4 linked regions of the Rhinolophus ferrumequinum genome follow. The protein of the gene in region 3 purifies or fractionates together with the protein of the main gene of each other region. This does not show direct contact. Links are inferred from orthologs where the notes say so. Each region holds a gene or a part of one and is shown on either strand. Other genes may lie near its edges.

Evidence for each region.
Region 1: the proteins of PRPF4B (region 3) and USP39 purify together in Homo sapiens (affinity purification with mass spectrometry; 3 studies listed by BioGRID and IntAct, with this or other methods). This does not show direct contact. The link is inferred for Rhinolophus ferrumequinum from reciprocal best matches to the Homo sapiens genes PRP4K and USP39.
Region 2: the proteins of PRPF4B (region 3) and ZC3H18 purify together in Homo sapiens (co-immunoprecipitation; 4 studies listed by BioGRID and IntAct, counting the BioPlex papers as one, with this or other methods). This does not show direct contact. The link is inferred for Rhinolophus ferrumequinum from reciprocal best matches to the Homo sapiens genes PRP4K and ZC3H18.
Region 4: the proteins of PRPF4B (region 3) and PNN purify together in Homo sapiens (affinity purification with mass spectrometry; 5 studies listed by BioGRID and IntAct, counting the BioPlex papers as one, with this or other methods). This does not show direct contact. The link is inferred for Rhinolophus ferrumequinum from reciprocal best matches to the Homo sapiens genes PRP4K and PNN.

The regions. Positions count from the first base shown.
Region 1 is NC_046296.1:8,725,534-8,733,272, reverse strand, and holds the start of USP39 (U4/U6.U5 tri-snRNP-associated protein 2), read left to right. Parts: upstream 1-4,728; 5' UTR 4,729-4,822; coding exon 4,823-5,090; intron 5,091-7,326; coding exon 7,327-7,396; intron 7,397-7,739. Other genes in the region: C13H2orf68 (UPF0561 protein C2orf68 homolog), read right to left, coding at 1,477-1,599, 1,957-2,108, 2,890-3,008, 3,090-3,196.
Region 2 is NC_046298.1:33,213,598-33,221,374, reverse strand, and holds the start of ZC3H18 (zinc finger CCCH domain-containing protein 18), read right to left. Parts: upstream 3,009-7,777; 5' UTR 2,829-3,008; intron 1-2,828.
Region 3 is NC_046292.1:89,848,979-89,856,401, forward strand, and holds the start of PRPF4B (serine/threonine-protein kinase PRP4 homolog), read right to left. Parts: upstream 3,015-7,423; 5' UTR 2,952-3,014; coding exon 2,815-2,951; intron 1-2,814. UniProt on the Homo sapiens protein: Serine/threonine kinase involved in spliceosomal assembly as well as mitosis and signaling regulation. Connects chromatin mediated regulation of transcription and pre-mRNA splicing.
Region 4 is NC_046289.1:86,505,079-86,513,057, reverse strand, and holds the start of PNN (pinin), read right to left. Parts: upstream 3,011-7,979; 5' UTR 2,933-3,010; coding exon 2,820-2,932; intron 2,155-2,819; coding exon 2,083-2,154; intron 1,697-2,082; coding exon 1,628-1,696; intron 933-1,627; coding exon 860-932; intron 751-859; coding exon 656-750; intron 490-655; coding exon 414-489; intron 1-413. Other genes in the region: TRAPPC6B (trafficking protein particle complex subunit 6B), read left to right, coding at 7,139-7,219. UniProt on the Homo sapiens protein: Transcriptional activator binding to the E-box 1 core sequence of the E-cadherin promoter gene; the core-binding sequence is 5'CAGGTG-3'. Capable of reversing CTBP1-mediated transcription repression.

The sequences.
Region 1 (7,739 bases), on a different chromosome or scaffold from region 3:
TAACTTATCCACTTGGCTCACCTTCCCGGCATTCTTCTGTCACTTCAAGCTGTGACTTGCTGCAATTTAATTATGTAGTTTAAGAGTGCCCTCAGGTGTCCTTTAAGAGAAAAGCTGCTGATATGGACCAGCCAGACAGATCTTGAGACCCTGATGTGGAAAAACCCCTGAGGCAGGGGACATATTTTTGTTTCAAGAAGTTTCAGTGCTCACCGGCTCACGTAAACCCCGAATTTCAAGTCACTGAGGTTAGGCTGATGTGCTGGACAATTGAAGTAGCTTGGAATTGCAGTGCACAGGATGTCTTGTGGATTTCTCAGACCTTAGCCTAACCCTCCGTTAGGAAAAATGTCCACTTAGGTGAAAGCAGTGATATTCCTGGGATCTTTATTTTAAGGGTCTCTTGGGAGTTTATATACTCTTGGGAGGTAGGAAAGGAGAAAACATGGAGCAGAGGAAAAGATGAGAGGTTCATTTTCCTCCCTCTGGTGTGTTGTTTGGGTCTTTTTTGTTTGTTTGCAACTAGGGTTCCAAACAGGCAATTATTGCTAATGTTGAATTTCTCTTTGTATGTATGTTCAACTGTGAAATCACATTGGGAGAGGCTGTTTCAAGCTTGTTTTGATAATTCCCCTTTAGGGATAAGGTTGAAGGATGGAATTCTATTGTCCTAACCAAGGGAGGTTTTGCTGCAAGAAATCCTTGCAGTTTAGTTCATCATCTTCCTACGTAGGTTTCCTTATCTAGACAGTGCAAATCAGTGGGGCTGACAGAAACTTGCAAAATCCACGGAAGGGGAGGGAGACATGCTTGCAAGTCAGACCCCAAAATGAAGATCTCCCACTTTATTGGTATCAGAATTACTGGGAGAGCTTGTCAGAAAGGTAGATCCCCCCCCAAACCCCACACCTCCAAAGTTCTGAGCAGCTGGAGGTGCAGTCACATTGGGAGGTTGGGGGTGGATGGAACTGATGAACTCTGATACAAACGGGTGAAGGAAAGAAAAGAACAAAGAAACAGCTGAAAAAAATATGGAGGAAAAGATGTATGGAAGTGAGCAGAAGCACAGTAGCAAAGAACCATAAAATAACAAACATAGCTCAAAGAGCTGGGTGGAGCAGCAGGAGCCAGGTGTGGCAGGGCACATGAACTCAGTGAGAAAGCATGTTGGCACAGGCTTCATAAACCTCAGCTCTCCCTGGAGTCTCTGCTTGGAGAACACCAAGCTAGCCAAATAAAATTCTCAAAAATTCCAAAATACGAGGCTGGTCAAATGGGCCAATACCCAAGAAAGAGTGGCTACAAGGGACGTGGCCAGGCATGATCCTGCAACACTCTTTTCCCGTGGGTGCAGCAGCTGTGGGGTATGAGTGTGTGTGTGTCTCAAGATCAGCACAGACTGGTCCTGGCACCCCCAAACTAGGGGTGAGCTCCCTGGGCAGTGAGTCTCGCCTGCTGGCAATGCTTTCAGCCTGGTCAGTGTCGGCTCTGGCGCTTTGCAATCTCCTCCTGGATGCGCAACTCGAGGGCCTCTCGCATGGATGGATCCAGAGGCGTGTGTGCTGACACCTCCTCACTCACCCTTCCTGGGTCATCGTCCTATGTGGAGGAAGAGTCAGGAAGCTCAGGGCCTGGCCTCTCTGGAAAGGCAACCTGCCCTGTCCCTAGACAACACTCTCAAAGAATTCTGACTTACAACTTCTTGCCAGTGCCTGTCATTTCCCAGGTATCCCCTGTAATAGTGATTCTCAACTGAGGGCCACGAGCCCTCCCTGATGCTCACTGAGAATCACCGTGTGACAGGAGTTGTGCTCAAAAGCACTGCCCAGCAGTCTGTGCTTCCATGTGGAGCAGACACTTCCCTTTGGCCCTGATGAAAACAGTGACTCAGGGTCTGGGAGTGATTTCTCCCATGTCCCAGGACCTTCAGGCTGTAGTTGTTTCCACCAGGCGTACCTGATACACGATAACTGATGTGATTTCTCCGCTGTCTGCCTCATATTCTAAGCAGAAGAGCTGATGGCCAGAAGGCTCTGGCTCCGAGCCACCACTACTGCTGCCGTCACCGGACTCTTCACAGTCTGGGTTGCTTGGGTGGGTAGAGCCATCTGGAAGGATGAACCAGAGTGAGAAGGAGGAGAGGAAGGCTGCTGGAGTTCCTGACCACAGATAAAAGCCCCCATCTTTTTATGAACCCTGTGTGTGTTTGTGTATATATGTATGTGTGTGAAATGTGCCACCACTCAGTTTCACCTTTGTATCCCTGCTCTAGGGCCAGCACAATCCTGTCACACAGTAGGCACACAATGCACATCTGTCTAATGAATAGGGTTGGTAGGCAGTTGAAAGGCGAACAGAGCTCTGTCTGGGTTCAAGTCCAGGCTCTGCCATTTACGAGCTCTGAGATTTTGGGGAAGTTACTTAACCTCTCTGTGCCTATTTTCCTGACTGTGAAACAGAAACGATGAACAGTTCCTAACTTATGCAGTCCTATGAAAACATGACAACGTACAGAAAACTTCAAAGCACTTTAAGTCATGCTCACGAAGTCTAGCGTCGTACGTTAACTACTGCAATCGCTACGTCCAGGGAAGCTGGGAAAAAGGCCTGTTACTGGGTTTGTCTTGCCGGTTCCCAGGTATGTCCTGTAACAGTGACGTTTAATTGGGGGCCATGAGCCCTTCCTTTCCTGTCCTCCAGGAAAAACAATCACTGAGCGGAGACTGGGGAGCGTCGAGGTGCAGGTTCCAGGAAGGAACGGGATGAACTGAATGAACCCTGGAGAATAAGAAGGTTTTTGTTTTTTCCCATTTAGAGAAAGGGAGTGCATTGAGGCCGAGGGCCAGTGGCCAGCGCACGCTGGGAGGCAGGCTGGACGGGCGGCCTCACCTCGGTGTCGCGGCAGGTACACTGGCAGGTCGGGCTTGCGGGGCCTCGTCGGAGCGGGCGTGTGTCGCCTCCTCACCTTCTCCTTGGCTGCCTGCTTCACCTTCTTGTCGTAGTCATCCCTGCGGAGAGCCGAGCGGGAATCAGGGACAGCCCGGCTGCGCTGGGCTGGGGGTGGGGGAACGGCGGGGGCGGGGCGGTACCGGGCCAGCTGGTTCCGTCGGATGTGGTGCACGAAGCCGTGGCTCATGTCCAGCCGCCCGCCAGGCTTGCAGCAGAGCCCCGGCCCGGGATCCGGCGTCGCTGCCATCGGGAGCCCTGGGCGCGGAGCCGCCGCCGCCGCCGCCGCCGCCGCCGCAACGGCTGCACTAGTCACCCTCCCGCCGGGAGAGGTCGGCACCGCCTCTCGCTCGCCTTCCGGCCTCGCACCCCGACCTTCCGTCGGGAAAGGGCCGTGGGGCCGAGCGGCGCCGCGCGCTGAGTTCCAGGCGCTGACGCGGGGGTAGGTGGGGCGTGCGCGACTTCCACGCCCTGGGCGGGACTTTTCTTTGTGACATGGAGAAGAAACAACATTTTAGGTTTACAGCTGATAACGTCAAACAATTCAGCACCCATGACACCACTGAAGGTCCGGTGTGGAGCCTTCCCGTCCTTTCTCTGGGGGTAGGGTGTTGTGAAACTTGAGTCGCTGCACGATTTCGGCTGACTACCGGACCCCGCGGGGCCTCAGTTTCCTCATCTGTAAATGGGGACTCGGAGGGCACCTACCTCAAGAAAGGTGGTGAGGCGAGTGCTCTGGCAGGGCCCCAGCGCCGGGGCTCTGCAGCCGGCCAGCCGACCGCCCAGCTCGGCGCCCACCGGCCAGCTGTCTTAACTGCTCCCGCGGGAGGACTCAGGGCTTTTCAGGGGTCTGAGCGGGCGCCCCCTTCCAGTCCTCCTTAAAAGAATAGACAGAATTAGGAATTTGTCATTAGAACAGGGACAAACATTAGGAATTTGTCATTGGAACAGGCACAAACTGTGGTGCACCCACACAGTGGCATACAGCTGAGCGATCTCAAGGAACGCGCTGTTGCTACGACGCGGATGAATCTCAAAATAAACGCGCCAAAAAGGACACCCGGGTGCTTCCTGTACGTGCAAGTCTAGAACACGCACACTAACCTGTAGTGACAAAGCAGACACGTTTGGGGCTGGCGGGGAGGCTCCTTACGTTGATCGTGGCGATGGTTTCCGAGTGTACATACATCCATCCCGGCAGGATGGAGCAGATCCCACACTTTAACGTGCGGTTTATCGTATGTCAAAACACCTCAGTAGAACTTTACAAAGAAAGCAGTCTCGGGTCCTGGAAGGGGGTCGCGAGTCACAGGCCCTGAAGCCTTAGCTTTATTAGCGTCACTGTAAGTCCCCTTTGTTCAACGTTTCCATTTGCCTGTGACAATATGAACAACCCTCTAAGTGTGGAATTATATAGACTCCGGGTTGTTGCAGGAAGGAGATGATTTGGGGATGTCGCCTAGTTCTCCTGTGCAAGGGGCGTCGGTCTCCGAAGCCCGGAGACTGTGGAGATGATGCCCCCGCCCCATGCTGGTTTCGGGGCACAAAGTATATTGAAGATACCTGGGGTATCTTCAATGACAGCTTCCTTGATCCAGATATTATGCAGCCAATAAAAAGTTCCTGCCTCTTTAAGCTGGAAATTTCGGGTAAGGTGGCAGTAGGCCCGCAGATCGGTCTCAGGTGCGCACGCAGCCGCAAAGAGGCCACAACAGAGGCAGTACCGGTACTTCCCAGTTTCCTCCGGTATAATTTGTCCCCTTCGGCGACTCGTAGAGAGCCTTGGGCTCGGTAACAGCGGCGCTCTCGATTGGCTGTTTGCGGCGCCTTCGAACGTGCCTAGCTCCTGCGCTGGGCGACTGGGCCGGTAGTGGCGATGTCTGGCCGGTCCAAGAGGGACTCTCGTGGTTCCACCCGTGTGAAACGCGAGTCCGAGTCACGGGTCAACTCGAGTCGCGTCAAGCGGGAGCGAGATCGGGAGCGGGAGACCGAGGTGCCGAGCTCCCGGGGCAGTCCGGTGCGCGTGAAGCGGGAGGTCGACCCGCCTAGCACGCGCGAGGCCCCGGCGCCCGTCATCCCGGCTGTGCGGGTGAAGCGGGAGCGCGAGGCGGACGAAGACTCCGAGCCTGAGCGGGAGGTGCGAGGTGCGCGGGGCCGGGCTGGGCGCGGGCTCTACTCACGCGTTCTCTGTTTTCTTTCCAACCTTCCCGGGGTGGGTCTGGAAATCCACACTTTACCAGTGTCCGAGACCCGACTCGATTGGCGTCTTAATGAAGATGCTACTAGTCTTAATAATAACTATAGTTACAAGATTTCTAACGACAACAGCAGCTTTCCTTTATCGAGTGCCTAACGCGGGCCAGGCATTGTGCTTATTATTTTACAGGTGTTATGTCCTTCAGTTTTTATAAAACACCTGAGGATTGAGTCTTGCTGTAATTTCTGGAATTAAAAGACTATTCAGATTTGAGAGCCTGAACCCTGGTCGCCTGCACCCTACTGCCCTGTTAGCCAGACCTTAGCAGCCAGATCAGGCTTGTAATCCTGCCTCTCAGTTTGAATCCCGTTCCTCAGTTTCCAGGACTGTGTATCTGTATATGAATATACTCATATTAACTCTTACATTTTTTTAGCTCAGCGTCCTGTATTTGACATTTTGCATCACACACAGGATCCAGAGTAGTCCCTTGCTCATAAATGCTTGACAAATATTCTTTGCATAATCTAGTTAGTAATTTCAAGGTATTCTCTAATTTCCTTTGCTTAAATACTCTGTCAGCCTCAGATTTCCCTTTCTTTAGAAGAGAAATTGTTTCTTAGATATTTTGCATAGTTGTGGTATGGAGATTGTTTTCTCTGGGACACACTTGGATCCCAGTTGTTACTGACTTGTCTTTTTAGTTTTCATTTTATTTTTATCATGGACTAGATCACAGGTACCAAGATGTACTGAATGTAATGCAGAAGTACAGTGTAAAGAAGTGTGTGGATGTACATTCTTAAATCTGCGTGTGAAGAATTGTGAAGGGTCTGAGATTTCATCCTATTTGCAAGCTACCAAGTTAGGCTGCTTTCCTTTCATGCTGAAGGAAGACATGGGACTATTGGGCCTGAGACGGTTTATTGTTACAGCATTAACAGTAGCCAGAGTGTGGCATTGGTGTCAGTTCCCCAAGTCAGTTCCCACAATGCAATATGAAGGGAACCCATTTGGCCCAGTGGGTGGCCCTACAGTAGAGGAATTCTGAGCTTCCAGAGCCCGAGTCTTTTATAATAGGCTGTGAGCTTGCCTCCCCTTTGCTCTGTAGGGAGATAACTATTTCTGTCTTCCAAGGTTGTTCACTATATAAACATCCTTGATAAGATCCTCTGGATGGAGTTAGTGCCTCTGTTCACAGTATGTGCAGAAACACGAGAGACCCCTGGAGAATTGTTTCCTAACACTGTCAGCTTAAGAAGTGGTACATAACCTTGGAAGTTCCCATAGGCTCCTCCTTAGTTGGATATATGCTTTCCTTCCTTGCTTAGGTAATCACTATCCTGAATTTTTTTCTAATCACTTCTGTTTTTGTTGTTTATAATTTCATTTTGTATTTGGTATAAGTGGAATCATACTGTGTAGTTTTCTGATTTACCTTTTTTTTTGTTTTTGCTGGCCATATTTTTGAGGTACATCCAGATAGATGGCTACATAGTGTTCCATTAATGATACACCAAAATATATTTTTCCATTTTATTTGTGGGGGACATTTGGGTTGTTTCCACTTGGGGCTCTTTCAAGTATTGATGCTGTAAATATTTTTTAGTAAAGTACTCCTGGTGCATGTGTGGAAAAATTTCTCTAGGGTATATAGATAGAGAGATTGCCAGGTCAAAGGGTCTGCATATTTTCAGGTTTGATCTTGCTGTATTATTTTCCAAGAGGCTGTAACAGTTCTCGCTCCCACCAGCAGTGCGCAAGCATTCTCATTGCTCCACATATTCGCCAGCATTTGGAATTTTCTGATTGCATTTTTCCCCCCTGATAGGTGTGACACACATCATTGTGCAAGATTTGCATTTTCTTGATTATTGATGAGGTTGAGCATCTTGTAATATGTTTGTGGGCTGTGTTCCTCATTTTATTGTGTTGTCTGGCTTTTTTTTTAATTGCTTCAGTACATTTCTCCATGTAATTTGCAAACAAATAATTTGTTGGGGTTATATGTGTTTCTAATATATTCTCTCTGTGGCTTGTTCCATTAGTGGGTTTTTTTTGGGTGTTGCCAGGCTACCTGTATAGGAGCTCCCCTTGATTAGTTTTGCCTGTTTCTTTGTACTCGTAGTTGCCCCTGAGTACGGGTTTCCCATTTTCACAACCTGTGATGACTTTCCTTGCAGCAAAGAATGGCCGGGTGGATTCCCAGGACCGGAGGAGCCGCCACTGCCCATACCTGGATACCATTAACAGGTCAGTAGGACAGGGATGCCGAGGGCAGCAGCAGAACAGCGGAATCTAGGCAGGAAGCTCTTGGGAAGTTCCTGTTAATCTTACTGTTAATCTTTGCTCTTCAATTTAAAGTGTCAGAGGGCATGCTGTTTTAGGGTGGGCACATGCATAAAGAGCTTGTAGCTCATTTTGAATCCGTGTGATGAAATATCAGGATACGTAGTGTCAATGATGATAGCAACTTTAAATATTCATTGAGCACCCACTATGTGCTAGGCTCAACTCTAGATGCCTGGGATTTACTAGAGAAAAAAAGAGACAAAAATATGTCCTGAAGCAGTTAGTTACCTCATCCTGATACCCT
Region 2 (7,777 bases), on a different chromosome or scaffold from region 3:
CCTCCTGAGAAAAACCTGGATACCACAATTTATCTTCTAAGTTAGGATCTCCTGAGGTCCATTCATGGTCCCCAGAGTAAGAACTCTTGCTCTAACTATATTGTACATTATTCTATTATGTATCCATAATTACCGCACTGTACTGAGATTATTTGTTTGCAAAGTCTGTTGGGAGGCTCCACTGCCCCCTATGAAGTGCCTGACTAGAGGGCTCACACTCACCTGTGTTCCCTAGGCTCAGCAAATGGCTGGCGTGTAGTAGCAGACTTCTCATGTGATTTACTGTCTAAACTAGGACGTGTCTGAGACTGAAAAGGGGCACTGTTAACAATTACAGCAGGCATGAACAGGGTCTGTCCGCAGCTCATGGAGACATCCAGTCACCCTCGGAGGCCCTGACAATTTCTTGAGGAAAGGAGTCACATCTCTTCTTTCCTGGGAATTGACAATCTGAGGATGCTCACAAGTGAACACCTTGCAGAGGGAAATACGCCAAAGAAGTTCCCTGTTATCAGAAACAACCCAAGTCACACCATGCTACACAGAACAGGAAGAGTGTCACTGGGGAATCAGAAGATGGCTTGCGTTCCCGGACATGCTCTGGGCAGGTTAACTGTCTCTCTAGGTGTCTGTGTCCTAAATTAATTTGAGATGAACTCCATTTAACAAATATCTGAATGTGTGCTCTATGTCAGATGGTAGGAAAAACACTGTTAAGTGTAGACAATGAAATGGAGGGCACTCTGCTCATGACTTCACTAAGTCCCAGGTGCCCAGATTTTACTGTTTGTTCTTCTCACACAATTACCCTGTAATCGAGGATTCTTGGCAAAGTTTAGAACTAATTCTTTAATCTTTTGATCCATAAGATGATGAACCTGCCCAGAGAACTGAATAACAACTATCCATCACTCACTGTGTCTCCACTGCCTACTGCATCTGGCAAATGGTGACTAATAAATGTTTGTTGAATTAATAAATGACAAAAGCTCATTACCTGATAAACTACCTGTTGCGTACTAAAAAGAAATTTGAAATAAGAGCCTCATTTTTAGAAGACTATACCAGCACTCAAGCATAGAGTGGGAGCTGTCTCATTTCCCAGCAGTCACTCTGGAAGGCTGCATATGGATTACAATAGCTCTGTTAAAGCACAGAACATTTTGGTAACTACCCTCCTGAGTGACCTTTCGAACCTGCAAAACACTCTCTTGGTGCTCTCAGTAGCAACAAATCTTTCTCCTCTCAAGGTGGGTCACTTTGACAAACCACAGGAAGCCATTCAGAGCCTGGTCTGGTAAGTGAGCTGAGTTATTAAGCAAGGTAAGACAATGTTTGGTCAAACCCAGGGTGTGACTACTGAATAAGACAGATTTTCTCACATGGCTTATGTATTTACTACCAAAACAGGAGTTCTCAAGAGGTTTTTGGCAAAGGAGCACCAATAAAATACAAGGATAACTTTTTGGGATAACAGCTTTAAATAGAGCAGTCTCTACCTGAATGCCTAAGTTCTGGCACATAACTTCACGTACTTACGTCACCTAAAGGAAAGATGTTGAGCGTGCTGACAAACACTACCCCCCAACTGACTAAGCCTGACCACCAAAATACTCCAGGAGGAAGCACTCACCTTGAGACGATGGATAGCTGTGCAAAACTAAAAACAAAAAACCTATTTTAAACGTGAGCAAGGTCATAGCTTACCTGTTTGCTCTCTGCAATGATTCCACAAAGCTTTCTTACAACGTTTTGAGCATTTCCCACCCAAAACTGGAGAGGCATTCCAGCCTTCGGGACACAGCTGATTAGTTTCCAGAGCTGGCTGGGTTCCACGTCTTAGATTGTAAAATCAGCAGACCAAGACTCCCCTCCCAGCTCTTGGAAGTGGGAATCAGCCTGGGTCCAGTCTCTCCCTGAGAATCCCAAACTCTGCTCTGGACAAGAACCAATCCATGGGCTGTATGATGGAGGCGAGTCTCACGGGAGAAATGAGAGCCACTGCTACGCCCCTGAACAGCACTTCAGATGTCAAACACCCTCTTCCTCCTTTTGCCCCAAATGAATCTGAAGACTGACCTACTCTTACAATTGCGTCTGCTGGCATTTAAAACGATCAACCTCTCCCCCCAGCAAACTCAGCTGTCACACAGCAGTGAGGAGAACTTAAGTTTCAGCAAGAGCAAGACTGGAAGTCTCAAAGTCTGAGGTCTTCCAGCATCATACTGACTGCAGTTAGTTTACACCAAGGATTCAGCATTCTCTGGGCTCCTATCCAAAGGGGCAAGGAAATCCCATATTCCTGAGAAAGTGGCGCCCGTCTCTAGGCACAGCCTACACCTCCCACCTGTGCACACTGGGGGAGCTGAGAGAGCAAGTTCCAGGAGGCTCCAGAGAGCTCGAAGTTCCCGAAGAGCTCATCCCCAGTCCGGGCCGGCAGCCTCCGGGGGACGAACTTGCGTGCCTACTCCCACATTTGTGGGCGGCAAACATGTGCCCCGCAAACGTCCCGGAAGAGAAATGACAGCTTCAAGAGAATCAACTCCACCGCGGGGCGCAGAGGCAGCCGCGGGGAGCTCGGGATCTGTGGGGTTTCAGGACCCCCAGGACCAGCTCGCGCAGACGGAACGCGGGATCTTGTCTATCTCAGCGTCCCCTTCCCGGGGTCCGAGAACCACGCTTCGGCCGGGGGCGCAGCCTGGAGCACTCCCCGGAGGCGGCGGCGGCGAGCTCCCCGGCCTGGGCTCCGCGCCGCCGCCACGCTCCCCTCCTGGCCGCCTCGGCCTCCTCACCGCCGGCCCAGATGCCCCGCCGCCGCCACCGCTTACCTCAGCGCGAGGGCGGGGAGGGGGCCACGGTTCCGCTGGGGTCCGGCCGGCGCAGGGAAGACGTCCCTCGGCCCTTCCGCTCTTTACAGGCTCCGGGTTGAGGCGCGACGCGGGCGGAACAAACGGGCTCCACTACCCCCGGGGGCCGGCCATTGTGCTACGTCATCAAGCCGCGACCGTCCTGCGGACCGGCGGGCTTCCCTCGCTCGCCCCGCCTTCCGCCCGCTTCCTTCCGGCCTCCGCGCGCTCCCGCCGGTGCGCGGCACGCGCCCGAGCCCGCCAGGGCGCAGGCGCCGCCCGAGGCCCCGCCCCAGGGGTGTTCTGGGTTAGTGTGCGGCTGGCGGGGTGACGGCGCCTGCGGAGAGGGCTTTTGGCGCCAGGCGGTCAAGTGACACCCCGAGCCCACGTTCCCGCCCTGGGTTCTCGGTGGGGAGCTCCGCCCGGCGCAGCGATGGGTGGTTTCGCCCTCGCAGCTTTCAATTTTAACTTCCCTCCGACTAACGAATTCCCGTTCTAATAAACGTAAGCACCCACTAAAAAATGAATATTTTTTGAGATACTGAGTTTAAATATCAAAGCCTGAACGTTTGTAACTATTTCCGTGGAACTCAATAGCTCCTGCTCTATTAAATATAGTCAGTTCAACACAAAATTAATCATTTTTGAGATACTGAGTTTGAGTATAAAAACTTAAAAATTTTAAAACTATTCCTGCTTTCTTAAGAATAATCAGCTGAGAACCTCCTACCCTGTTGGTGGGAATGTAAACTGATACAGCCGTTATGGAAACCAGTATGGAGATTCCTTAAAAAATTAAGACTAGAACTACCACGTGATCCAGCAATTCCACTTCTGGGTATTTACCTGAGGAATATGAAAACACTAATTTGAAAAGATATCTGCACTCCCATGTTTGTTGCAGTATTATTGTAATAATAATATGGAAGCAACTTGTATCTAGGTAGCCGAATGGATAAAGAACAAGTAGTATACATGTTTATATTCAAGGGACTATTATTCAGCGGTAAGAAATGTGAAATCCTACCATTTGTGACAACATGGATGGACCTTGAGGGTATTATGCTAAGTGAAATAAATCAGAGAAGGACAAATACCATATGATTTCACTCATGTGCAATGTAAAACAAAATAAACAAAAAACAAAAACAGACAAAACAAAACAAAAGCAAACTCAGAGAGACAGAGACGACAGACCTGTGGTTACCAGAGGGAAAGGGGATGGAGGGAAGGCGAAACAGGTAAAAGGGTCAATTGCGTGGTGACAGATGGAAACGACTTTTGGTGGTGAGCAGGGTGTAATACATATCTGTAGGTCAAGAATTAGGACATGGGTTAGCTGATCCTCTGCTTTGAGGTTTCTTCCAGGCTAAGACTAAACATTTAAAACAATTTCCATGGGACTAAATAACTTCCACTCTATTAAATATAAACAGTTCAACACAAAATTAATCATTTTGAGACATGGAGTGAGTTTAAATACTAAAGCTTAAACATTTTTAACTATTTCCATCAGACTAAAGAGCTCCACATCTTTTAAATGGGATGAGCTTACCAGGGTAACTTTTCATGATTAGAAGGACATGGTGTGGTACTTGGGGTATTTTTGCATCTTACCAATTGCCTTCAGGGCGGCCTGCAGAGGATCAAACTGCGCTCTCCATTTAGAGACAAGGAGCCCACTTTTAGAAGGGTACTGGGCTTGATTGAATGCTCTGCTATCCCTGCCTTCAAATTCTTAATCATTTTTGAACAAGGGGCCCATGTTTTAATTTTGCACTAGACCCTGCAAATTATGTAGCTGGTCCTGGCGGTAACTAAGGGTTTTGGGGGATGGTGAGCAAAGCAGACCTTTCTTCACCCCATCTTCCACCTCCAGAAAAACTCCTCCTCCTTGGGGCAGACTGCCACCATTTTGCCCACAAATATGAGTGTCTGGCCCACAGTGAAGTTGAATTAACTCAGGTGTTTGCCTTATGTTATCTGAATGAATGAATGAGCAAGGGAAGAAATGAAGGCATTAACATAGAGTTGTCATGTGACCGAGCAATGCCACTCCCAGGTATCTAATCCAAGAGAAATGAAACACACATGCACACAAAAACCTGTACACAACTGTTCATAGCTGTATCATTCACAATACCCCAAAGTGGAAGCAGCCTAGATGTCTATCAACTGATGATGGATAAATAAAATGTGGTCTATGCGCACCATGGAATATTATTCAGCCATATAAAGGAATGAAGTCCCCTCTCCCTCTGTGTCTCCCTCCCAATCTCTATCCCGTGAGGACACACGTAGGTGATGTCTGCAAGCCGGGAAGGCGGCTCTCACCAGAGCCAGAACCGAATCAAGCCAGCCTCCTGATCTTGGATGTCTAGTTTCTAGAACTGTGAGAAAATAAATTTCTGTTGTTTAAGGCTCCCAGCCTATGGTTTTATTATGGCAGCCTGAGCCGACTTACATATTTCATTTACATGAAATATCCAGAAGAGGCAAATCCATAGAGCCAGAACTTAGATTAGTGGTTACCAGAGCCGAAGGAGGGGAAATACGGAGTCACTGCTAAATGGGGATAAAGTTTATTTTAGGAGTGATGAAAATATTCTGAAATTAGGCAGTGGTGGTGGTTGTACAACTTTGTGGATATACTAAAAACCACTGAAGTATGCATTTTAAAAGGGTGAATTTTATGGCATCTGAATGATACCTTAATGAAACTATTATTTTTCTAAGAAGAAAAGAAATGAAGGGAAACAGGAGAGAAGGGGAGAAAATGCAGGGGGATAGCTGAGAGGAGGTGAGGGTGAAAAAGAGGAAAGGGCTGGGAGAGGTGAGGAGAGGCAAATGGGGCAGGTCTCCTGCCCAGTACCCGTGACTCTACTTCCCAACTGAGTCTTGAATTGTCTTCCCTTTTCTCCATCCCCCTTGACTCTGGTTCTAGCTACCACCACTTGCTCTGTCACTGTCCCCTGACCCCCACCCTCCCCCAGATATCCAGAGCCATCTTTCTATAATCTCGGGTTTGTTTCAGTCTCACTACTCCAGCCTGAGGCCCCCCCCCCCAGGGGCTCCCTCTGCACCCAAACACCAAAGCCTGATGTACCTGCTCTTTGTAATCTGGCCCCACCAGCCTGGCCTGCCAGTCTTCATGCTCCCTCTCTGGCTCTCAACTCGCTCCACACTTTTTCTTTGCACATGCCACTCCTGCTGCCTGGAACACTGTTCCCACCTTTCCCTCTAGCTAACTTTTTTTTTTTAAAGGACCCATCAGCTCCAAGTCAAGTAGTTGTTTCAATCTAACTGTGGAGGGCGCAGCTCACACTGGCCCATGCAGGGATCGAACCAGCAACCCTGGTGTTACAAGCATGGTGCTCTAACCAACTGAGCTAACTGGCCACCCCTCATCTAGCTAACTTTTAATCATTCTTCAGGTTTCACCTTGAATGGACCACCTACCAGAGCCCTGGTCTATTTCTGCAGGTGGGCACGAGCTCCTGGAGAGCAGGATTGCAGTGATCTCCCTGTAACCTTGGGTCAGGCATTGAGTGGCTAATCACAATGTTTGCAACATCTAGTTGTGTGTGTGTGTGTGTGTGTGTGTGTGTGTGTGTGTGTGTGTTTATTGGGGTGGAGGGGAGCATTTAGAAAGATAGAAAATGGCTGAGGTCGGATTAGAACCCAGGTCTGTCTGCCCCAGGTGTGAGAGTGAAAGCAACATCCCTCTAAGCCTCAGTTTTCCTGTTCTGTAAAGTGGGGCTATTCACACCTGCTGCAGAATGAAGAGACCACACGGTAACAGGCACAAACTTTGTTGGTTTGTGTTGCTCTTCACTCCAGCAGGCCTTGTGCCGAGCTCCTCGTGGATAAAGCCCCCATTGTTATGTCCATTTTATAGTTGGGGAAATAGAAGTGTAAAGTCACAGAGCTGCGATTTCAGCCCAGGCAGCTGGACTACAAGACCCAAGCCTTTTCTGACATAATGAACGAGGCTGTCTCCAGATTGTTACTCTGGCTGTGACATATGTAAAAGAAATGTAAACATCTGTTTTATCATTTGGGGTCACTGTCACTGATGCTGATGGGCATATTCCCCCACATTCTGAGTGCTGACAGGCTGTGGTCACATCCCGCAAGGGCCACTGGGTCAGTCAAGGACAACACCTGCACTGGCATGACTTACCATGTAAGATAGCTGCCACCACTGAGCTGTGACAGACCGTGGAACACGGAATCTGAATTTAACACGGGTGGTAAGCTACACTGAGCCACAACCACGTTGGCGAACGATGTGGTATTGCTGAGAGCAGTACCTGGTGACCAGCAATTCCACCCCAGGCATACACCTAGACAGGCGTTCTCAAGGTGGGGTCCCTGGACTAAAAGCAGCACCTGGGGACTTGTTAGGAATGCACATTCTCAGGCTCCATCCCAGAACTGCTGCATCAGAAGCTCTGGCAGTAGGGCCAGCAGTGTGCATGTTAACAGGCCCCGGGTATTTTGCTGCTTCAGGGAACGTGAGAACCACTAGACTGGTGCCTCTCTTGTCTATGGGCACGAGAAGACATGATCAGGACATTCATAGATTTTTCAGTAGTAACTGAAAGAAAAGCAAACACAGAGAAATGATCTGGAGAACTAAGTTTGCGAACTCATCCTAGAAAAAGTGCTGCATACCTCATTGCTGAATATCACTGCAGTCACCTTCAAAGTACTCCCCTTGAGAAGCTATGCACCGACGCCAGCGCCTAGTCCACACTTCAAAGCAATTTTGGAACTCTTTTTCTGGAATGGCCATCAGAGCTGTCGTCGTATTACCCTTGATGACCTGAATGTCATCAAAATGTCTTCCTTCCAATATTTCCTTTATCTTTGGGTAAAGAAAGAAGTCATTGGGGGCCAGATCGGGTGAGTGAGGAGGGTGTTCCAAT
Region 3 (7,423 bases):
CCCTGTGAGTAAGGGGGACGCCTATATATAAATTCCATACACATAAATTTACATTTTGCAATTTAACATTACACATTTAGCAGTACATGTCTCTAACCTGGTCTGTAACAGGTTCATCATAAAACAAAACTGAGAGCTGAGTAACATCCTTCAAATCACATTATTTGGAACAGAGCTTAATTAGAAGTGCTGACAATATGGCACTGTTTAACAGTATATATTTGTTTTTTCAAATGCAATATACAAGTTTCACCATTCAAACAATCCAGGTCTTAGAGCATCTAGCACAATGAAAATAGCCATGGAACAATTTTAAAATAAAGTGACCAATTACCAACCACTAGCGTTATTTTAACTTTCTCTGTCACGTGTTTTTTTTCAATGAATATTCTTTTTGACATTTTATTTGGAGGGCATGCAATTTATGCTTTACAGACAAAGAATGGTGAGCAAAATGAATGCCATTGCTTCTTTACAAAGAAAGTAATTCGGCCTGTTTCTCTAACAAGTTAAACTACTTTAATACAGAACTAGTTAGATGTAAAAATAAGAATGAATTAAAAAGACCAACTGGTGTTAAAACAAACTCTTCAGCCTACACCTTTTCCAGATTAGGTTTGGGAAATTAAGCTTCAAAGAATTAGAACTGTCACATCAAAAAATGGCTTTTTCCGGGACACTGAAAATAAATAAAAATGATTTCAAACCTTAAAGGCTATTTTTAAAATTATCCACAATGTGTAGTGGCAGACCAGACTGTATAGTAGTTAGGAGCAGGGTTCTAGAACCAGACTGCCTGGGTTTAAATCTTGGATCTGTCACTTAGTACGACCTTGGACAAGTGAACTTAATCTCTCTGTGCTTCAGTATCATCATCTGTAAAACATGGGCGATAACAGTATCCACTACCATAGGGTTGTTATAAGGATTAAATGAGTTAATATCTGTTCAGTGCTTTGAACAGTACCTAGTGCAAATAAGTCAATGCATATAAAAATGTAAATGTTTAAAACCATCAAAAAGACTGAGCTAAAGAAACTGACAAATATAAAAGTCACTAAACAGCCTTCAAGAAGCTTGAAAACTGCTTTTCGTATTTACTCTTTCTAAATGTTTTACTTTGAATAGATTCCATATAAACTATTCAGTGTCTTCTAAAGAACTGTTTAGACACTATATTCCAGCATTCACTATGAGCAGTATACACAGTACTTGCTTTCATATCAAATTATTATTTTCTTTGCTAATCATTTTCAAATAATTGAAAGTGGAACACATATAGACCAAATATTCCATTTGTACCAAGTGGTCTGGGGGAAGTGGAGGTAGAATTAAAGACTATCTCAGTGTCATTCATATTGCAGACCTAAATAAAGTTATTTATTACTATCAAATGTAGGATTTCAGTATGTGAATAAAATATGCCTGAACCATTCCTCAAAATGAATCTGTAGCGTCCCTGAAATTAAATGAATGGACATATTGCTTTAGAACTTTAAACAGATTACTACAATAATCAACTGCATAGCATTAGATTTGTACTGTATTGGCATAAATACTGTAACTATGCCACACTGTGAACTCGACAGAAACAAAGGCAAAGTCTTGTTAAAACTTTAGAATCAATTTGCTTTCTTCTAAGTCAAATTGTGAAAATAATAAAGCAGCTTTCAAAAACCCTTTACAAAAAACAGTGTAATTCTGTCTGGCTGAGTAAAGCAAATGATTGAAGGATCCAAAACTCTTGCACAGCAATGAAGTGTTGGGCCGTCTGGTGATAAAGATTTCTCCTATCTTTCAATCCCAAGTTGCTGGGAGACTATATCTACCTCTTTCCAAAAATGGCTGGAAACAAATCAGATAATGCTCATGCAAAGAATGGTCGCTATAGGAATATTGTTTTAAAATCCATTCTCTTTTATGTTCTTCAATTTTCCTAGCATAAACACAAAAAACAAAATACTGCTTTCAGTTAAGCAATGGTAAGCCTTTGCAGTATATACAAGTATGTTTTTACTCGACCACATCGATTCTTACATTAGTTTAATTATACACAAAGTACTTGGGTTTGGAAGTAGCTAACAATTTCCACTACTTCTTCCACTAGTTCTCCCAAAGAAGTCTTACAAACTCAGGACAAAAATGCCAGGTCTCAAAACCAAGGACTTAATCTTACTTTGTCTCACGTTAACCAATTGGCAAATGCTGTCAATAGGCGGGGGGGAGGGAAGGGGGATACCGGGTGAATGCTGGAATAAAGAAAACAGGGGTGGGGAGACGAAGTGCACAAACTATAGCAGGGGATGGTCAAACAGGATGGCCTTAGCACCCCTTTTCCTCTCCGCTTTCTGGTTCTAAAACGGACACCAGTAGCAGGACAAGCCAAGTACTGTACGCCGAAGAAAAGTCTTAGGGCTTGCTCCGCTGCCGCCACTGTCCCTTGGGTGCCTACCCAGGGAGCTCCGGTCGGTCCCGGAGGGAGGAATAGGAAGATGCGACCGCACATTCGGGGTAGCCGCCGCGCGCACGGGACCTGTAGGGGCCGCTCGCGCCTATGCTTCCCAGGGCAACGACGCGCGGCAGGCCGCGGCCGCCTCCGACCCAACAGACGCGGCCTCGGGGACAGCGAAGCTTGCAGGCCGCCCGCCTGCACCCCACGCTTCCCGCCCCACAACGTATAGAGCGGGGAAAGGCAAAGTTTCGCTCTCGCCGTTAGGCCTGAACTTTCCCGCCCTACTGTGCAAGTCTCCACTGTTTGCCACTCGGCAGTCCCCAGGGCTCCGGCCTTCCGTACCACTCAAAGAGACTACTTACTCTGGCTGTTCCCGCAGAGACTGAGCCTCCACAGCGGCCATCTTGAACTTCCTGACTCCTCGGCGGCGGTGGCGGCGGCAGCCCGGACCGTGGAGGCTAGTGGAAGTAGAGGAAAAGGGAGCAGAGCCGTCGCGCATGTGCTAACCGCGTAAAGAACCGTGGAGCTCTGAGTCCGCTCTAAGAATCCGGATATAAAAGTGCATCCGGGGACAGCGCGCACGAACGTCATGACGCAACTTCCGGGACGAAGGGGCGTCGGGAGGTGTAGGCGGTACCTGCTAAGGATGTGAGGCCGGGTTATTTAGGCTAACTAGTCAGTGTCAGAACCCAACCTTTAGTTCTCGAAACTTGTTGGGGACGAATACAAAGGGATTGAGATATCGGGATCAGATGTGCGGTTCCGGGGACTCGTTTCACTGTGGGCGCAGAAGTTGAGTTAAAAGTCTCAAACGAGGACAAACAAGATGATACTGCTTCTGGGCTGCGTTGGAGGCATAGTGAATGTCTTTTTACCGGCTAGTTAATTCTATCAGAGGGAAAGTTTGTGGAAAGGCATATTAAAAAGACTGTAAAGTTAGGGCCGCACCTAGAAAGAAAATGTATTTTACTATGTAACTATTACTGATACATTTATTTGAAACTTTTGAACTTTGTTTCAGCTTTTGCCAAGTCCAGGGGTAGGATTCAGGAGTCATTAGGTTCAGTGGTTCTGTGAACTGAATTAGTAATGTTTTTGGTTCACATTATCTGATTTGTGTTTTTCTATAATAATGAACTCTACAATAATGGGACTAAATTAAATATTCTATGAGAAAACATTTACTGGCTCTTGGAGAGATTTCAGCACCATGTAGGATTTTACATTCTCTGTGTGCGCGTATCTGTCTGTCTCGCCTCTCTCTCTCTCTCTCTCTCTCTCTCTCTCTCTCTCTCTCTCTCTCTCTCTCTCTCTCTCTCTCTGTCTCTCTCTCTCTCTCAAAAAAAAAAAAAAGTATCATTCCCCATAATCTGGAACCTGAAAGCAGACTGATGATCACTTTCATTCTTGTAATCAACTGATTTGGGGTTTATCCTAGAACTTTGAGGTTGGAATATTAGACCTTCTTATATATCTTGATTCTCAACAGGGAAGAGGTAGAAATATTCTTACAAAATAAGTACAATGGTACCCCGGTTTTTGAACATCTCCGTTGAGGAATATTTCAGTTTACGAACGCTGTAAATTTTATGGATCTATGGTATCATTAGATAGTAAAATTCATGCTAAATTTGCAGTTTTAGGGTTTGATTTTAAAGGTCTGGAATTGATTAATCCATTTTGCATTACTTTCTATGGGGAAACCGTGCCCGGTTTTCGAATGTTTCAGAACTCGAATGGTCTTCCGAAACGGATTACATTCAGAAACCGAGGTACCACTGTACCTGGTTGGTTGATTCCCAAGCAAGTTAAAATGTTAAACGTTTTCCCCTCATACACTCTATTAATATAGACTACTAAATTACTCCTTGGATAATTATTGATTTTTGTGGTTTTTCCCCCACCCCACACTCCATTATAGCATTTCTTTATAGTACAGTCCTTAATTACATTGTTTTCATGAAGGATTTCTCTCTTTCTCCTTAACAATCAAGTTCAGGTATAATAACTTGAAAGATTTCTTTCAAAGAGAAATGTTTTCAGAAATATGTTTAAAATGATGTATAATTCAACCATATGTTTATTTATGTACCAATAGTGTATATGTTGGGATTTCACAGTTCTAATTGTTCATACCATTAGATTCTCATCCCTATATAATTGTTCAAAAGTATTATGAATTCAGCCTTGTATTTACCATTTATTATATTATCTGTCCCCATGAAGGCAAGGCTATGTGTCATTGTGTCAAGAAGAGCTCTAATGTTATTAAAATAACAAAACATTCGTAAATTATTTTTAAACAATTTTAAAATTAAACGACCATAGTGTGTTTACTATAAACCTATTACAGATCTCTTCTTGGAAATAAATGCAAACTTATAAGACATCTCATATTGGATATAAAATTGAATAATATACTTTTAGGCAAAGGAAGCCTAGCAAACTGGTGTGAAGAAGTAAGATAACTTGCTTGTGATGACTCAGTTTTAAGTGGGAACGCAGGTTTTGAACTAAAATCTAATTCCTGAGTGTGTGCTCTTTCCTTCTTACCATGCTGCTTCCCACTGAAATGTCATTTGTTTAGCGTTTACTTATTGAGGACAGAGCTCTTTGATATTTTTTTGAGTAATGGGAATGAAAAGACCACTGGATTGGCATCCAGAAATGTCTTATTTTTCTCAAGGTCCAGAGGCTGTAGTCTCTTTCTTGTTGCTGACTAGTGGAGAGCACATAGGCCTAGCTCAATTTCTTCAACCGTATTATCTTCCCTCCTCTACGACTCTTGACAGTACGCTTAATGTGAAGATTAAACTAAGCACACTGAATATGGGGAAGCATAGATGGGGGAAATAGTCGCTAAGGTTGTTCAGGGTTGAAACCAGATTATGACTGGCTAAAGTTTAGATTTGGACAAACTATTGAAATTTTTAAAGAAAGAACATAGTAAAAATAAAGTTTCAGAAAATAATACTGGCAAAATATTTCCTTTAAAATTTTCTCACCAAATTGGCTTGCAAGGTACTACCAGTTTGGAGTACAGTAGGAAGGGGACTTGTGAAGGATTCACCAGAAACTTCAGACACCCTGGACAGCCAGAAATACGAACTGGTGAGTCCTAGAGCAAATTAAGCCTGAAACATCTCTGGAGGCAAATATGACAAAACTGAAGCTGTCCTACTTTGGGCACATCATGAGAAGGCAGGGTTCTTTGGAAAAGACAGTAATGCTGGGGAAAATAGAAGGCAGCAGTAAAAGATGAAGAGCAAGTATGAGATGGATTGACTCCATAAAGAAACCATAGGTATGAGTCTATAGGAGCTGAACAGGGCTATTGAGGACAGGATGTTTATGGAAATCATTCATTCACAGGATTGCCAGGAGACGGAGCCAGTCAATACATAAAGCACACACACACATACGCACTATGTTGCTATTGTAATTTTGGAAGAATAGCGTTTTTTGAAGGTGGAGTTAAAGCAGGCATGCACTTACAACTTTAATCATTCAGCAAGCATTTATTAGCGACAGACTTAAGCCCAACTTTCCATTTTCAAACTTGAAGCCCAGTGTTTCATTCTTGCTGCTTTCCCTCGGCTTCTTTGAGGACCTTTGCTCCAGAATGCTGCCCTGGCAGGGGCCATTTCGTAGGACGAGCGCCAGAGGCGCAGCTTAGCGGCTGAACACGCCCGCTGTAGCAGTTCCCTGGAGGGGCGGGGCCTCGGTGGGCGCTCGACCCGGGAGTCGCGTGCGTGCGTAAGAGCGTGCGAGCGTCGGAGGAAAGGGCTAGGCGGACCTGAAGCGAGTGGTAGTTCCCAGTCAGGGCCACTCCAGGCCCGGAAACCGCGGAGCTGGGCTGAGAGCTGAGTGCTTCTGGTCAGCGTCCACACCGCCCACTCGAGGAATCCGCTCCCTCGCGCCCTGAGCCCGCTCTCTTCAGCCTCGCTCCCCCTCGGCGCTATAACCGCCATTACAGTCGAGGCGGTTTTCTGGAGTCGGCCGGCCAGCCGGCAGACCCGCCTAGTAAGTAGATGGAGAGGCCCGTCGGTCCTGCCAGGCTCCGCGTCCCTAACACACTCTGTTGAACCCCGCAGAGGCCGCATTCGGTAGAGCCGGGGTCGACTCTTCTGCAGCAGTCTTGTGAAAGCCAAGGGCTTGCCGCCTTACCACTAAACAGTATCAGAAAAGTTAATGGCCCGGGACAAGGTTTTGGGGACAAGCATGCATTTTTTGAACATTTCGACTTTTGCTTACCATCTTTGCTTTTTAAGTATTGTTACTTTAATACAGATACACATTACAGAAATAGTTTGGAAATATCTTTGAATTATGTTCCTCCCGTGGAAAGGGATTATTAAACTAAATTACGCTGTCATCTTCAATCCAGTTAAGCTGTTAATAGGCTCATTATAACGTAGGCTACAAACAAAAATAGAGTACCATAAAATCCTTTGAAGAAAATTGCACATGGAGGGTCCCCAGATGTCAAAAGAATGTAGATTATCTTTTCAATAATACTTAAGGTTTTATCTAGTTTAAATCTACACTTGGAATTACTACTGTGTTTCCCAGAAAATAAGACCTAGCCGGACCATCAGCTCTAATGCGTCTTTTGGAGCAAAAATTAATATAAGACCCGGCCTTATATTGTATTATATAACATCCAGTCTTATAGCAAAATAAGACCGGGTCTTATATTAATTTTTGCTCCAAAAGACGCATTAGAGCTGATGGTCCGGCTAGGTCTTATTTTCCGGGAAACACGGTAGCTGTTTGGGAAGACAGAGTTTTTTTCCTTCATTACAAAACAAGAACTTTTTCCTTTGTTCCATGAAAATTAATTTTGTTTTTTTGTTTTAAAACAGTTCTGATGTGTTCATCAAAATCTGGAAAATACGACAAAGCAAAAGGAAACAAAAACCACTCAGTTCCATTACCCAAACTGAACCAACATTAACTTACTGGCTTATT
Region 4 (7,979 bases), on a different chromosome or scaffold from region 3:
AATACTAAGTATTGCTTCTGAGTGTGTAAATAAGTCTAAAAATTAGAATTACTAGTTTTTAGTAATGATCAATGAGTTTAATTCCCTTGCTGAAGAAAAAGCACTGGGGTAAAGAAATGAAGTGACTTGTCCAAGACCACAAAATAAGACTGTTAACAGAGCTGAGGCCAGAGCTCAAGTTCTCCTGAGTCACAGACCAGGGTGCTTAACTCTACAGAGAAGTTCACTCAATTACTTCCAAGTACCTCAGAAAAAGATCATCTAACAATTCCAGAAAGTTATGTAAGTTTATCCTTGGATTCATTTTAGGCTTGCAATTACACCTTAAGAGAGCTTTTCCGCTCTTTTTAAAAGCATGTTTAAGCCAACTACTTTGATAAGTTAACAAAGCAAAGGAGAAACTGCATAAATACCCTTTCAGTAGCAACAGTAGATTCTTGTTTAAATTTCTGAAGGGTGCCCATCAACAAGCCAAATATTCGCCGGTTCCTAAAGAACAGAAAAAGAAAATTCAATTTCAATAGGATCTACTTCATTTAAACCTGCCATTTCCTAAAAAGAAATGTACTATAGCCATTTGGACAATTGCTTAAGTTTTCTTAAAATTGCATTATTTAACAGGAATTCTTTCCCCACAAAAAGTAACTAAAGATACCTTTGCTTTCCCTTTTCATCCATATTTTGATCCTGGATAAGGTCTCTCCGTGTGCGTTCTTTGGAGGTAGCTACAACTGAAGACTGCAAAGCTGGCTACAGGAGAAAAGAAAATCTCAGTAATTTAACAAGCACATGGGTGGTACTCTTTGCAGTAACATGAAAATACTATATTCATCGTCTAAGTTCTTTTAATCTCAATTACCTTTTTAACATCATCATCTTCTGGGTCGCTTTCTTGGCGTGATTCTCTCCGTGTCCGACGCTCCCCGCCCAGCCTGTCATAGGAAAATAATTTAAGTAACCACCACAGAATCTGACTTAGTTGCCTACCAAGGCCAAATGACTCCTTTTTCTAAGACTCATTTCCAGAAGCCTTATTCTATTATCTCCATCCCATTTTATTCTTTGCTCCATTAGTGAAAAGACAAAACCTTCAGTGAGCTCCTATGCATCTAGAATAACATATCTTTGAAATGTTAAAGTAATTTTCTAGACCTCACCCTCCCGAAAGACAGAGGCACAAGACTCTAGAGCACAAGACCACAGTATCCCTCATTGTTATCTTACTCCTCGCATAGTCTCTGTACTATAAATGTTAATTACTAACTATCCTATACCCACCGATGTAAGTCTCTCCATTTTCCTTTCTACCCAATCCTACAGATCTGTTTTGCTTTCTCTCACGTCCTTAATCTACCACCAATAGATTTCATATAACCCTCCCTATGTCTTCTCCTTTGATTCGAATGTATAAAATAAGCTGCAAAATGGCCATTCTCCCAAGCATTTTCTTAAAATGCTGAAGTTTTGCTTCAGGGCATGTCCTCAAAATTTTGGTTCAAACGCTTAAAAAACTTTTCTGCAGGCTGGACATTCTTTCTTTGACAATATTCGTTAAATATATATATATATGCTACCTCAGAAGACAGAGCATGTAAGTGTGCCTTCACAATCTTTTTTTCCAACATACCTACTGACTGCCCCTTCAAGGTCTCTCTGTTTGGCTGGGGGTCCTCCTCCACTATCTGAGAATCCACGCCTGCAATTAAAAATGTCCAACACAAAGTACTTGAAATTTAATGTAAATATTTCCATTTAGCAAGAAAAATTAAAAGTTTAAATATCCTTTCAATGAAAGCAACCTTAAATGGACATTCACTCCAAGATGCTTTTATAGCATTTTTTAAAAAACAACAAAAAAATTAAGTTCGCACAAAACTGGTACAGTTACATTCTCCAATCTCTAGTTTTACATGTAAGTGAAGCTCCAAGTATAACTACCCAGAAAACTACAGTTAATCATAGCTTTAAACAAACATTTGTAACATTGGTTCTACCACAAATTTTGTTTAAAAAGATACATTAATTTAGTACAAAAAGCACCAACAGTTTTAACATACGAATTAAGTCCTAAGGAAATCTTACCTCAGCAATAAACTACCACGTCCTCTACCTCCACCAGGACCAGAAAGGGCCAGCAATCTGGCTTGGATGGGCCTACAAAATATTTACAAATCAGTACAAAAATCACATGTGGACACATCTAATGGCCCCAAATAACGTTCACCAGTGCGGTTCATCATACGGAGAAAATAAACAGAAAAGTTCTAAACATACGAATCAAATCCACGTGTTTGAAAACGAACAGGAAGTACTATTTTAACTTCCTTGCTCTTTCAAGATCAGTAGCACAAATTGTATTTACCTCGATGCCACTAGACATTAACAAGCTTGGATCATGTCCTAATTTCGCCAATTCCAAGGAAGCTGCACGTGGGCAAGAACCTGGGACGAGGGGGCGAACCGTGTCCCGGGAGGGTCTCCGGGTCAGTGGCCGCCGGAGGGAGAAGGGGCTTTGTGCTGCAGTTCCGGGCCTGCAGGGCCGAGGGCGGGAATCCGCAGTCCGGGCCTTCCCACAGGCCGGGAAGCCATCCCGCCGCACGCAGGCCCGGTTTTCCTTCCTCACGCACCTGAGCCCGGGAACCTTTAGCGGGGGCCTTGGAGACTACCCCACCTCACCGAGGACCGGGTTCTATCGCCGCCCCGGGAAGAGGCCTCGATGTTCCAGCCTTCTCCTAAGGTAGCTGGTCGCCCTCCCCGCCCCCCATTCACCCGGCTTGATGGCTGCCTCTCGGAGCCGGCATTTCCCATCCCGTCTTTACCTCACGTCATTCGGATCCCGCCCGGTGAGCTTGCGAATATTCTCATCCACGTTCTTTAGGCTTTCTTTGGCCTTTTCTAGCTGCTCCTGTAAAGTTCTCACTGCGACCGCCATCTTCTCCCCGCAGCAGGATTCGAGACTGCTCCACAGGCCGCGCCTGCCTGTGCCGCGCCGCTAGACGCGTGGGGATTGACAGCTGGGTTCAGCCAATGACGGTAGGCGTTGTTTTTCGGCCTCAACCATTCAGCAACCGGAAGGGGAGAAACTACCGGCCTTTGTGACTCTGGGCCAATGAGAAGTCCGCTAAGGCGGTCACCTCCCTCCCCAATTAGCTGCGAGTGGCTGGGCTCAGAGTCTAGCGCAGAGCTGGGGCGGGTTTGTGAGTCCTTGCGTCCTGGGAGACGCGAGCTTGCGGGCCTGCTCTTCTGTCCCATAGCGTGGAGTTTTGCAACCTTTTTAACCTGTGATATGACGTGCCTTACGTCGTTTTAACCACCTAATCACATCAGAGTAAGACCGAGGCAAGTCTATCCTCCCCCGTCCAGTATGGAGATTAGGATAAGATGCGACAGTTCTGTTGGTGCGCATGCCCAGAAGGAGTGTGTGGAGGTGCGCGCTTCCCTTGATCAGATTAAACCAAAATGAGCAGAGGGAAGTAAAGAATGAAGAAACAGGAAAAGTCATTAATCGTTATAGCTAACAGTTATTTTCGGTGTGAAAATAACACTGTGGTCTATGTGTCATTGCCCAGGCAGAGTCTCTGCTTTACAAATTCCTAGGAAACCTTGTTGGGTGGCAGGCATGCTATGGTGTCCTGTGGTTCATCAGGGAGAGTAGGGTAGGGCCAAAGGCTGCGAGGTCATGGTGCCTGGGAAACCCCATGAAGATTGTTGATGGGACCCTGTTAACTATATATTGACACTGCCGTGCCCATGTGCTGCTCAGGCAGGGTGTGCTGGACATCAAAGTAAAGATATGCTTCCTTGGGACCCAAGTGGTAAGTAAGATTGGCCCTAAGAAGCTCCTGCCTGACCATGTGAGCATTGTGGAACCCAGAGATGAGATACTACCAACCACCCCCATCTCGGAACAGAAAGGTAGGAAGCCAGAGTCGCCTGCCATGCCCCAGCCAGTACCCACAGCATAACAGGATCTCCTTGGCGGCTGGATCTGGAGTCTGGAAGTTGCTCTGAAGACCTTTAATAAAATCTTTTAAAAAGATTAAAACAAAAAGCAAAAAACCGCAACACAACACTGTGTGAAACGCTTTGCATGCCCTATGCCTCTCAAAAGCTGAAATAAAATACCAGTTTTTACTGGTGAGGAAATTGAGTCTGGGGATTCAGTAACTGCCCCTAGGTCTTGCCAGCCTAGAATCACCATCAGATCAGACCCTGTGCAAGACTGTACTAGAAGAAAGAAAGTGACGGTGAAACAGATGAGGCAGGCATTAGCCTCTCTACCTGGCCTAGAGCTGGTTAGTTTAAAATAGGGTTAGGGAATCAGTGCTATTGTTGGTTGTGTGTGAGAAAGAGTATTGTCCAACTTCTGGTTCTGCTCTACCTGGACTGCCAACATGGGAACCAGTTTTATTCCAGAAATATATTTGCAAATTACAGTTCAGAAAACATTTTCCCACAGAAACAGTGTTATGAATAACCTTTGGATTCTTATTTTCCATCTGACTACCAGGCGTCCTACTTGCACCAAGCATTAGCAGGCCAATTGTATTTAACTCAAGCTACCATTTTAATTCATCCAACCACTTTTAAAAACTCCTTCTGTGTATAAGCGGTAACCTAGGCTATCAGCATAAAGCCTAGAGCAAGATAGCTGTGGTTATAGTTTCCCTGGAGTTTATAAGCTCTTCAGGGAGCAAAGATCACTCATGTACTCGTTCATTCATTCAACAAATATTTGTTGTGTGCCTGTTATTTCTATGTGCCAGGCACTATTTCAAGCACTTAGATACCTCAGTGTGCAATAAAGATCTCTGCCCTCAAGGAGGTTGGGGGCAGAAAGAATGTGGAGACAAAAATCAGTATGTTGTGTAGCATGTTAGTGAAAGAGAGCAGAATATGACTCCCCAAAATGTGCCATTTTGGCATGTGGATTATTTTGGGTTGAAGGCAATCAAGACCCAGCAGACTCAACAAAAACTTTTACTTTCCCTTTAACTGCCTAAAATAATTTAGTTAGGGGGCCTGGTCCAGAAAGAGAGATATTACCAGAGATAACTTTTTATTTGAAAGACCTGCATAGCAGAGCAAACATCTGCTCTTCTTGTGAATTGCCTTACTTTCATTTATAGCACCAGGTCCCTAGTATTTCATTCCTTAGCTCAGGATGGCAAATAAGCCTCAGTTGCCTGACTACCTTTGAGGTCTCATGTTTTCATGGGGCGCCCATATGCATAGAATTAAATTTGTTAATCTATTTTATGTCAATTATTAGATCATCCAAAATACCTAGAAGGGTAGAAGGAAAACTTTTCCACTCCAACATTAGAAACAGAAGTGCTATTGAAAACAGAAAAAGTAAAGCTAGGTAAGAGGGATGAGGATTGATAAATAATTATTTCATTCTGATTGTGAGCATACTTAATCTCGATCCATATTACAATCCTATGTGGTAGGCAGTACATGAAGCACCAAATGTGGTAACAGTAGATCCTAACTACCAATTATAACAGTGTTTCCATGACAGAATGCTTTTAGAGTTAATAAAAAAACAGGATCTAACCAAAAGTAGGCTTCCATAGGATCTAATACTAGGATCCTGGGCAATTTAACATAGTCTGCTTTATGGGGGAGAATCAGTGGGATGCTGTGTTCAACATTTAGTAGGTGCTCAATAAATATTAGTTTCCCCTCTATTCTCCAGAATATTCTATGAAACCCCTGTTATTGTAGTTTGAGAAATCAATCTTAGTAAGTTGGTCAGTTGCTTACTCTTTGACCTCAATGGTGAATTTGGACTTCTGTTCCTCGACGGTGGTGATGAAGGGAGAGTGCAATTGGGACATAAAGGACCTGACTTCTGAAAAAATTAAGATTATGGTTACAAAATTACACTATTTAGTATTTTCAAAGGCTTAAGTGGAACTTTTATGCTTGATTTATATGATCAAATAGACTGATCCAAACATTAGAAGGGATATGTAAAAAAACAAACAAAAAACAAACAAAAACCTACCATAATTCTAGTTATGAAACATGATCTTAAATTCCTGTGAAAGAATATAAAGAGTTGAGAGGTTGTTAACAATTTGAGGAAACTCAATATGTTAATTTTGGGGAAGCAATGAATTAATTGGGAAGAAAATTGGCTTTGTGAATTACTAAGAACTAATCACATGCTAAGCAACAGGTTTAAGCCAGATTTGCCAAATTTAAGAGGTGCATATGATCTAAGATATGTATTTGCACCTCTGTAGGAGTTAAATTGCCCATGTGTCATAAATTTATACGAACTCCATCCCAAAATGACATAGCTTTTCTGAAGTTTATAGCACTTTTTCCCTTCACCTAATCCTCTGATTAATTTGCATTTTCTGGTTCAAGAGTATCCTGTTCTTTCTTTACTCCATCTGCCTTGTCCCTTACACCCCACTCCCCGTAAATTTCTTGGGGGCCAAAATGGCTTTAAATCTTTTTGCATACCTAGGCTGAATCCAGGATAATTTCTCATATATATTTAAAATTTATAGCCTGAAGATTTTTGAGTTATTCATTCTTTCTACAGTTTTTCATATTGAGGAACATGATGGCAGGAAGTGGAAGCTTTTGATGAAGTGAATAGACATTCTTTAAAGTTTAACTAACTCATAAGTAATTAACTCAGAGATGGCAGGAGGAGCTTCTTTGTCTTATTTTGACAGCTGCCCCTCCTTCCCCAGTATCTCAAGGGCGCCAAGCAGTCCCCCGCCACCGCCCCCCGCCCCCGCCGAGGAGGAACTCTGCGATCATAGAGCTGGCGGAATGCCGGGGTAGAGGGGACCGGAAGTTGTTGGTTTCGCCGCTAGCCCTGTGGCCACATACAGGCTTCGTGGGTTCGGTTTGGTTCCCGCAAGTGTTACACTATCTCGTTCCTCCCGAGGGCTTGGTGGCCCTGGGGTGGGGTGCGCTCGCCCTGGTACTGGGCTCAGTCCAGTACCAGCCTTCCGGAAGCGGAGTGAATTCTTCGGTCTCCTAGCAACGAGGGACGGGCTGCGGACTGAGGGAGCGGCGGTGCAGCCCGAATCGCTCAGGCGCTGGCCGGAACCCCCGAGCCTGGCCCAAACGGGAGCCGAAAACCAGAGCTTGGAAGAATAAGCAGGAAATGGCGGACGAGGCGTTGTTTTTGCTTCTCCACAACGAGATGGTGTCTGGAGTGTACAAGTCCGCGGAGCATGGGGAGGTGGTGAGTGCTGTCAACACACCCTTGAGGTCCTTCTGCGATGACAGTTTCCCCTCAGTTCTTTCCTTCGATCCCTGTCCCATCGCCACCCCACGCCTCCCGTGGTGTAGACAAGCTGTTCTACCTGCAGGTATCCTAAGGCCTCGAACCTTTCAGCTGTCCTCGGTCTTTTATCCTCTTCTCCCTCGCATCTTCTACTATTTGGTACTTTTTTGTCAATTCCCGTACTTGTATCCTGCAGGCCGCAAGTTTTCTTACTTTTAGTGTTGTCTCTACCATGATTAAAGGCAGGGTTAACATCTTTATTTCGGACCCCCTACTTAGTTCTGCCACTTCCAGCACTTCTGAGCCGTCCACTGCACAGACCCGTCCAGCCTGAGAATCTTGTCCCTCCCTCCTTATCCCTAACCCTCAATACCACTCCACAAAACTTGAAGACAGAAGCCTAATAACATTTGAGGTCAAAGCAAAGTTTTCAGTCATTACTATATTTAGGAAACAAATCAATTAATGTAAAATTTTTTTTATTTAATGCCCATTATATCTGTCAGAGCTAGTTCTAGGTGCTGGGGATAGATAGATAGATAGATAGATAGGTAGAGACATAGATAGATAGATATAGCTAGCTAGCTAGCTAGATATAGATAGATAGATAGATAGATATAGATATAGATAGTAATGAAGGAAACAATGACCCCATTCTCTTGGAGGTTACTTCAAATATGTGGCAGTCTTCATTCACTCACTATTTAGCGTGTGTTGT